2 linked regions of the Daphnia pulex genome follow. The protein of the gene in region 1 purifies or fractionates together with the protein of each later gene. This does not show direct contact. Links are inferred from orthologs where the notes say so. Each region holds a gene or a part of one and is shown in the gene's direction. Other genes may lie near its edges.

Region 1 (4,581 bases):
TACTGATGCACTGAGTGAGTTTTTCTTCATTTAACTTTTAATAATATAATTGAAAATCACTTGTACTGTAGATACAATTTCATTTATACCCTAATTTATTCTGTAAACGTTTGTTGCTGAGCTTATTTTTTCTTTGGTTTTTCAATCTTAAGTTTTTTTCTTTTTCTTCTTTTGCTGTAAAGATGTATGAGACTAATTAGCTTGCGCACAGTTCGAAAATATTGAGTAATCAGTTGAGCATCGATGTGTCATTTTCATTACAACCTTCATCAAGTGAAATCAGACCTTTTGTGCCTTTAACATTAACTTCTCAGCCGAAGGTTTCTTTTGCAATGTTTTTGCCTTGATCGTCCATAAAATTTCTTCAAAGTACACTATCCAATTTTAAATGATTCAACTCGGCATTTTTTGTTGAGGAAAGAATGTGAAATGAGGTGACGTATGAAACAGCCCTATTTTACGAAAAAAACCTAAGAAAAATTTGTTTTAGCCACTATTGCGTTGATCTTTTTTTCTCCCTCATTCTATTTTACACGCTATATAATAAGACACTGGAATGTTATTGGTAATATTTCCCATTTCCTCGCCGATGAATGTAAAAATGGAAAATTGTAATTAAGTAAAAAAAAAAAACAAACAAACAAGTATTGCCCTGCGAATACCTTGGCATTATAATGTATCATGTATCACACACACCAACACGTGAGGATAACAGAAACTAGCTACGATGCGATTGCAGTTTGGCATCTGCCACCAAGTCTTTTGTTAAATTTCTCAATTATCATGCTTATATTCGCTTTTGACGTACAGTGTTCCTTAAAAGGTTTGTCGTTCGAATTCAATATCAATAAAGAATTTGACGATTTCAAGTGATGAGTGTAATTTTATTGTTCTAGTTAAATAACAGTTTAGTTATAAGAACTTAATTCATTTCTTATTTTAATCAGGGAAGATTCTTGCACTAGAAAGTAAAATTTGTGTCATAGAAATATAAATATTACAAAACCCTTAGTGAATTGCGTAATCTGTGCATTTCTAAGCAGTTTGCCATCAGCATTACTTTAACCATTATGATATATGATATTATTAAAATGATAAAAAAAAATTTGAACAAAACATAATTGAATTTGAATATATTGTGCCTTTTCACCTTGGGCTTGGGGCGTGCCTTTGCTTCCTAAAATATGAAAAAAAAAATAATCTAATTTTGAACCGAAGCCGAAACGCCATCTCTAGAGCTCACCAAGCGTATAACAGGCTTTCCAATCCATCCAATGGAAAAAGAGTACCCCCGTTAGGCCGTTACTTCCCTTTGTCGCCCTTTATGTACTTCATCATGCTGAAATAATAAAAGCAATAAAATAAAGAAATAGTGGAGAGAAAAAATACGGAAACTTACATTCAACTTCTTTCAAAATTATAGTAATTCTAAATTTTACTTCAATAGATTTAAGACTTCATTTTCAATTGTAGTAAAAACCTAACTTGGCCTGTCTTTAGGTTTATCTTGCCAGTCTAGGAAAAACCAAATTTTGTTATTTCAAGATAAAAATAAATGTACGTAGAATTCGTAATCGGTAAATGAAAAATCAATCATAAATCTTAGAATGCTTCGAAACTTTTGATAATATTTCAAGAAATGAATAAGATACAAAAAAGAATGCTTTATACTATCGCCGAATCGCGCATTAGAATTGCACTATCTATCGATAGTTTTGATGCTAGTGAGTTAGCGTGGACTTCTGCAGAAGTGGCACCACTGTAGAGCGTCTGCAGAAACAGAAGAACGACTGATAGATCAAAAGGAAGGGCGTGCAGTGCTACCATCAAGGAGTGTGGGTCCTTTTACCATCTTTAGCCAATTTAAACATCATGGCCGACCCGGAAAACCAGCCCGAACAGCAGAAGGCTGCCCCGGAAAAGCAAGTCATTGGTAAGACATTGTAGAATTAAGTAATTGTGATTTCATAAAAATAAAATGGCCCGCACCGGCGTGGTGCGAACACATCATGGAGGACGCTTCGGTTTACGATAGCCGCCATGACGATGCTATGCCAATAGCTTGCAATAGTGTTTTGTTTTTCGGCTTGACGATTTTCTTTAGTTGGGTTAGTAATAATAATTTATCTTTCTTTTTCAGCTACCAAAGTGACGGGCGTGGTCAAATGGTTCAATGTGAAGAGTGGATATGGCTTCATCAATCGGTAAAAAAAAAGTTTATAATCCTTTTGGAAAAATTATATGTTTTCATGATCCTGCATTTAAGATATTTATGGAAATTTAGAACTTCCGAGACAAAGTTTATTAATTTATTATGTTTTTTTTTTCAGCAATGACACCAAAGAAGACATCTTTGTCCACCAGGTATTTATTTTTTAATCAAGTCTTTTATGCTCAAGTACATAATTGCTGACTTTTCTTGCAGACGGCCATTTCCCGTAACAACCCCAGGAAAGCTGTTAGAAGTGTTGGGGATGGAGAAATTGTCGAGTTTGATGTGGTTGTTGGTGAGAAGGGCCATGAAGCAGCTAATGTTACTGGGCCAGAAGGTGAACCAGTAAAGGTAATAATTCAAAATTTCGAGTGTTTTAAATAGCACTTGGTATAATTTTCTTTTCTTTCATAGGGTTCTCCATATGCTGCCGATCGGCGTGGTCCTGGTGGGTACGGCTACCGTAGACGTGGAGCTGGGGGTACTGGTGGGTTAGGTAGTGGGTATCGACGCAGGCCAAGAGGATCACGTCGTGAAGGAGATGAGGGTAACACAATGCAAATCTCAAGTTAAAGGAATTTTTCTTAAAACTTTCCACTTTATAGAAGGTAAAGATCATTCGGAAGAACGCGGAGAGGGAGATGAAGAGAATGATGAATCAAATGCTCCACGAGAAGGTTCTTCTCGTGGACGTTTCCGTGGCCGTTATCGTGGAGTAAGCTACCGTCCTCGATATTTTAATCGTCCCCGTAAGAACACAGAAGGCGAAGAAGTTTCTGGTGACAAGTCTCATATGGATGGCGATGCTGATCAAGTAAATGATTTCTTTTTATCCCTTATGTGCGAAACGTAAGATTCTAATATTTTTTTGTGTTAAAGGAGGGTGGAGAAGAAAACAAATCTCGTGGTTCTCGTGGAGGTCTTCGTGATGGTGTCCGAGGAAGTGGTCGTCCTCGGGCTCGCGCTCGCGCTCGTGGCTACTACGGACGTGGACGTGGAGCACGTTCCGATCAAGGAGTTGGACAAGAATCATCCGAAGGAGTTCAAGAAGACGGCTCTGGCGACATTCGTGGGGGGTATCGCGGACGTCCTTTCAGAGGTCGACGTGGCGGACGCAGCCGTGGTGCCAGACCACGCTCCGGAGAGGGAATTGAAGGAAAGGTCAGTATTTTACGAAACTTTTTTTTTAGCTGCAGATAACTTACACACAAAATTTTTATTTTCAGGTTGAAGGGCAGTCTATGAATGCCACTAGTAATGAGAGCAACGCGTAAATTCATGATGACTCAAGAAGGGAGCGTACGCATAGGGTGGGGAATGATGGGGAATCGGACGGGAATTTAATCATCCCTGGCTTATTCCTCTACATTTTGTTTTTGTCTCGATACCAAGACGTCATTGTTGGGTGACACTTAGCGTTTCTTTTCTTGGTCGTCCTTCTCCACCTAAAATTACAAATAATGACTAGAATTGTTAACTCTAGCGTAAAACAAGAGGGAATTGTCTTAATTTAATTTTGATTGGAAAATTCGTCGGTTGTAAGCGGGTCGAAACGATATTTTTTTTTTCTTTATTATCGTGTAAAGGACCTGAGCTATGGCTTTACATCCCTCCGCATTGCTCTCGTCAACACGTGTGCTTGATTACGAACCATTTGTGCAGAAAATGTGTAGCCAAACCTTTGTGCTCGATCTCGGTCTTAATACTTTTCCATCCCGTTTTTTTTTGTCCCGAGTTTTGAATCTGTTTTCAATAATTTTGGGTTATAGGAAAATTACTGCAACCACATGTAATATTTAGTCAGTTAACTAAGTACAAAATTTGCGCGCCTTAAAGAAAGTGCTGCCGTTTTTTGTTATTTGACCATTTTTTATGTTAAATTTCTTTACCAGCTCTTAAATTTAAACGGGATTTAAGTAATTGACCAAGATCGAGGCAATTGTTCGTCTATGAAACTTCTGTTCCTCGAGACGAATCGCTCACTTTTTTTTTTCATTCTATAAATCTGTTGGTTGAAATCTGAATTTGATTTTGTGAAACCTCAAGCTTTGACAGCAAAGTGTTTTGGTAGATTTGTTCAACTGCATTGTGTGGGAAAATAGTTTTTCCGCTTCGATGAGTCAGACACGTAAACCTTGACTTTTCGCTCCAAAGTTAATTCTAACTTATCCTCATCCACATGCTACTCTATTGGCAACTGCTGAATCCCTGAGTCTGTACTTGAAGAAACGCTCTTAAAGATTTGTCAATACAACAGCAAAGACACTTGTTCATGTTTTTGTACTTTTTAATACTTATTTTTAAGTGTTAATTTAAATTTAAAATATTTCTCCATATTTAATTTTAAATGATAATTAACTTCTTATTTA
Region 2 (4,087 bases), on another chromosome or scaffold:
ACTACTTGCTTACCTTGGCCGCTCTCGACTCATTTGATCTTGCAATGATATATTTAAAACACACACACACACACGATGCATTCGGCCTTTGATTCAATTGTTGAAAGATGAACAAGCCAATCAACATGTTCCTCCATTTTTGTGATACTTAGGCAATTCATATGATCACCAACCATTATTTGCTTGCTTTTTTTCATAACATACCACTATTAATGAATTGTGGGAAAGCTATTATACAATTTGTAAAGAGTGTTTCAATCACATGCGTTTCTTCAATTTCTATTGCATTTCTACTAACTCCACGATGTGCAGCAATTTTATAGATTATTAACTCACGCCTAGTCCCTATGACGTGCCTTTTTTTATTGATAGAGAATTAAATAATAAACGATATTTTTAAACAACACCTGATCTTCATTCATTTAATAAATAATAAAAATTATCGAATTAATATAATTGAAATTCCCTAGATGCTCTACAATTTGGCGACGTGGAACTCAATATACCTATCCTCCCGCCTCCCCCCTTAAGCCAGGCACGAGTAAGCCCTGAAGGGATGTTTCATTACCTCTAACCGCCACCAGGAGGACTAAACAGAGACTTCGACTACTATCTCTACTCAGATCCCTTTCGACTCTCGCGCAAAATAGATAGACATTGTTCCCGAACATTGACACACTTGTTAATTATTTTCCAATTTAGTCAACATCTTCGTAAGGTTGGTATATTTTCTTCTCTTAATTTCTTCATTTTGAGTGATGTCAATTGTTGAATATTATCCAAGTTTTGTTTTGCTTGCTCTAACTTGTTTGTCACGACCCTCCCCCTATCTGTGGACTGACTCACTCACAAACAGTCGCTGCTTTGCTTTCGATGCGTAGAGCGCCATAGTGAACACTGTTTCTCAGATAAACCAATTCTTTATCCGTTGACATCCTTGCTCGTGTTTAAAAACTTGTCTATTATATCTCAACTACTGGTCTACTAGGTCAGTTTGTCATTTGCTGAGATTTATTTTATTCGAAATTGAATGCTTCAGTGTTACACGATCAAAAGTCTTTGTGTATATGGACGCCGATTCTGTTGACTTACCGCCATTGACAGATTCGATTTTTCTCATTTTATTTCAGGTTTAGTAAGCGACGTTTGTATGTGCACAGAAGACTGAAGCCATAGTTCCTGCTTCTTTGGTTTCACGTTATTTTCGTTTGCAGAAATCGTTCGCCTTCGTTGGAGAAACTTAAGTTCAAGTGATCGTTGTTGAAGAAGGAATTCGGCATTTTGCTCGAAAGTTTTGTTAAGTAAGAAGAAAAAGAAAAGAAGAGAAAACCATGGCAGAAGCCGTTGCTAGTCAGCCAAGCTTAGTGGCCAACAATCATGCCCTTTCGCCGATGAGACCCAGTCCTCAGCCGCTAATTGCGAAGCAGTAAGTCTTAAAAATCATGTGTTCTTTGTTCGTATTTCATGACTGTTTTTGTTAATATTTTAGAGAGAATAACTCTGACAATTTCTGGAAGTCTCAGTTGAAGATCCCACCCAAGGATCGTAGAAAACAGACTAGCGTAATATTCTTTCATTCAAACATCTATGAGAGTTGGGGGTTAAATTTTTGGTTTAATTTCAGGATGTTACCAACACTAAGGGAACAAGTTTTGAAGACTTTTGTCTGAAGCGTGAATTGTTGATGGGTATCTTTGAAAAGGGATGGGAGACACCTTCACCCATTCAAGAGGTTGGAATTCCTATGGCTCTGACTGGGCGTAATATCCTGGCTCGTGCTAAGAATGGAACTGGAAAAACAGGTGCTTATTGTATACCAGTATTGGAACAAGTAGTTCCGTCTGAGCAACACATCCAAGGTACTGACAAGTTTAAGTTTTTCTTACAGTTCTGGGCCTAATTTTTTTTTCTTTGTAGCATTAATTGTTGTGCCAACACGTGAACTGGCATTGCAAACAAGCCAAATCTGCATTGAACTAGCTAAACATTTGGATATTCGTATCATGGTGACTACTGGTGGTACTGACCTGAAAGATGACATTATGAGGATCTTTGGAAAAGGTATTCATTATTCCTTGTTTACTTCCATGCAAGTTTTAACAATCATTGTTTCTTCCAGTTCATGTTGTGATTGCCACTCCTGGTCGTGTTTTGGATCTGATGGAAAAGAAGATTGCGGTAATGGACCGTTGTAAGGTCCTTGTTTTGGATGAGGTATGTGGGAATTATTAAGAGTTCTGTTAGACGATTGTTCTTATTCTTTTGTGTAACTAGGCTGACAAACTGCTCTCTCAAGACTTCATGGGAATGTTGGATCGTATAATTTCGTTCCTACCAGCCAAGCGCCAAATTTTGCTTTATTCGGCAACTTTCCCTGTAACTGTCGAGGAGTTTATGGTAGGTTTATTGGTTCTTGTAATTTGGTTCTTGATTTAACAATGATTGTATCCACAGAGGAAACACATTGATAACCCATATGAAATCAATTTGATGGAAGAACTAACACTGAAAGGTGTCACGCAATACTACGCTTTTGTCCAAGAACGGCAAAAAGTGCACTGCCTCAATACGCTGTTTTCTAAAGTAAGTAAAGGTTTATTTAGATTTTCAGTATAAGACTGATGAGTTATTGTTGGATTCCCCTTCTCTCGTCTGAGAGAAAATCAACACCTGATTTTACTTGAATTAATTTTAACTGCTGTGTTTTAAAGTCACGATATTAATATCTGTGTTGATATTATAGTTGCAGATCAATCAAAGTATTATCTTCTGCAACTCCACTCAACGTGTGGAACTTTTGGCTAAGAAGATCACTGAGCTGGGCTACTCGTGCTATTACATTCATGCCCGTATGCAGCAAGCTCACAGAAACCGCGTCTTCCATGATTTCCGTAATGGGCTGTGCCGTAACCTCGTGTGCTCCGGTAAGATTTGCTTCATCTTTGTAATGTTAAGTGCTCGACTGTTATGATGAACTTTTTGTTGGATTCCCCTTCTTTCGTCTGAAAGAAAATCAACATCTGATTCATTTAATAATGTGAAGCCAAGAAGAGAAAAGGATGTTGAAACTAATCTTTTGCGTTTTTATAACAGATTTGTTCACTCGTGGTATTGACATTCAAGCTGTGAACGTGGTCATCAACTTCGACTTTCCCAAGATGGCTGAAACTTACCTGCACAGGATTGGTCGTTCGGGTCGGTTTGGACACCTGGGTATTGCTATCAATCTGATTACTTATGAAGATCGTTTCGCCCTGCATCGCATTGAGAGTGAACTTAGCACTGAAATCAAGCCCATTCCTAAGGTTAGTCTTGGATATCTCGTGCAAGTATTCATTGTATTTACATTGTTTTATTTTTTCAATGAAGGTCATTGACAAATCCCTCTACGTGGCCGAGTTCCAAGAAGATTCCGAGGAGCAATCAGGAAAGTAAAAAGGCGAGAGAATGTCTTCGAAAAGCGCATGCATCACACAACGTCATGATAGGACACAAAAAAAAATTGAGAAAAAAGAAAAGAAAATGAATCCTGTAAGTGAAATTTATGAAAGGTCGTTCACTGGGACCAATGTATTGAAGATCAGAATTAATGAAAAGCACTCATTAGCAATTGGAGGAGTGCTGCAGCATGTAGGGAAAAAAACCATTGTACAAGAGTAAAAACAAGGATAACTTTAAGCATGCGCTATCGAAAGACTGTTGTAAATATGTAAATTCTCACGGTGGCGAAGAGCCAGTTTTTTTTTCAGTTTAGGAGAAAAGTTTTTGTTTTGTTTTTTTGGGTACAATGTTTTGCGTGAATGGATGTGTGAACGTCGAAGGCTAAAGCGTTAGGGCGGCAGGTTCCGTAAAAGATGAGATTCCGTCAGGGAGTAAGTATGTGAAATGAAGTTTGGGGGGGTCAGCTTGGTACACTTTGCATTGCTTTTGGAATGGAAGAATCTCGCTCCCAAAAGCAGTCCACTGGTGATGTTACAATGGCTCCCTCGTCGAGGAAAGTTTCACCGATATAAGACTTGAAAGCCGCCCGTTACATTTTATATACATAATCTAGCCGACCCACTACCTGAATGTGAATTGTATATTT

Evidence for each region.
Region 2: the proteins of Y-box factor homolog (region 1) and ATP-dependent RNA helicase me31b-like purify together in Drosophila melanogaster (affinity purification with western blotting; 3 studies listed by BioGRID, with this or other methods). This does not show direct contact. The link is inferred for Daphnia pulex from reciprocal best matches to the Drosophila melanogaster genes yps and me31B.

The regions. Positions count from the first base shown.
Region 1 is NC_060017.1:4,193,796-4,198,376, forward strand, and holds Y-box factor homolog, read left to right. Parts: upstream 1-1,476; 5' UTR 1,477-1,872; coding exon 1,873-1,933; intron 1,934-2,140; coding exon 2,141-2,204; intron 2,205-2,330; coding exon 2,331-2,364; intron 2,365-2,425; coding exon 2,426-2,563; intron 2,564-2,626; coding exon 2,627-2,759; intron 2,760-2,817; coding exon 2,818-3,026; intron 3,027-3,091; coding exon 3,092-3,373; intron 3,374-3,438; coding exon 3,439-3,486; 3' UTR 3,487-4,480; downstream 4,481-4,581.
Region 2 is NC_060018.1:12,397,543-12,401,629, reverse strand, and holds ATP-dependent RNA helicase me31b-like, read left to right. Parts: upstream 1-1,331; coding exon 1,332-1,426; intron 1,427-1,489; coding exon 1,490-1,562; intron 1,563-1,624; coding exon 1,625-1,859; intron 1,860-1,917; coding exon 1,918-2,061; intron 2,062-2,119; coding exon 2,120-2,214; intron 2,215-2,274; coding exon 2,275-2,397; intron 2,398-2,454; coding exon 2,455-2,583; intron 2,584-2,743; coding exon 2,744-2,924; intron 2,925-3,093; coding exon 3,094-3,305; intron 3,306-3,369; coding exon 3,370-3,435; downstream 3,436-4,087. Other genes in the region: tyrosine-protein phosphatase non-receptor type 14-like, read left to right, coding at 1-37. UniProt on the Drosophila melanogaster protein: ATP-dependent RNA helicase which is a core component of a variety of ribonucleoprotein complexes (RNPs) that play critical roles in translational repression and mRNA decapping during embryogenesis, oogenesis, neurogenesis and neurotransmission.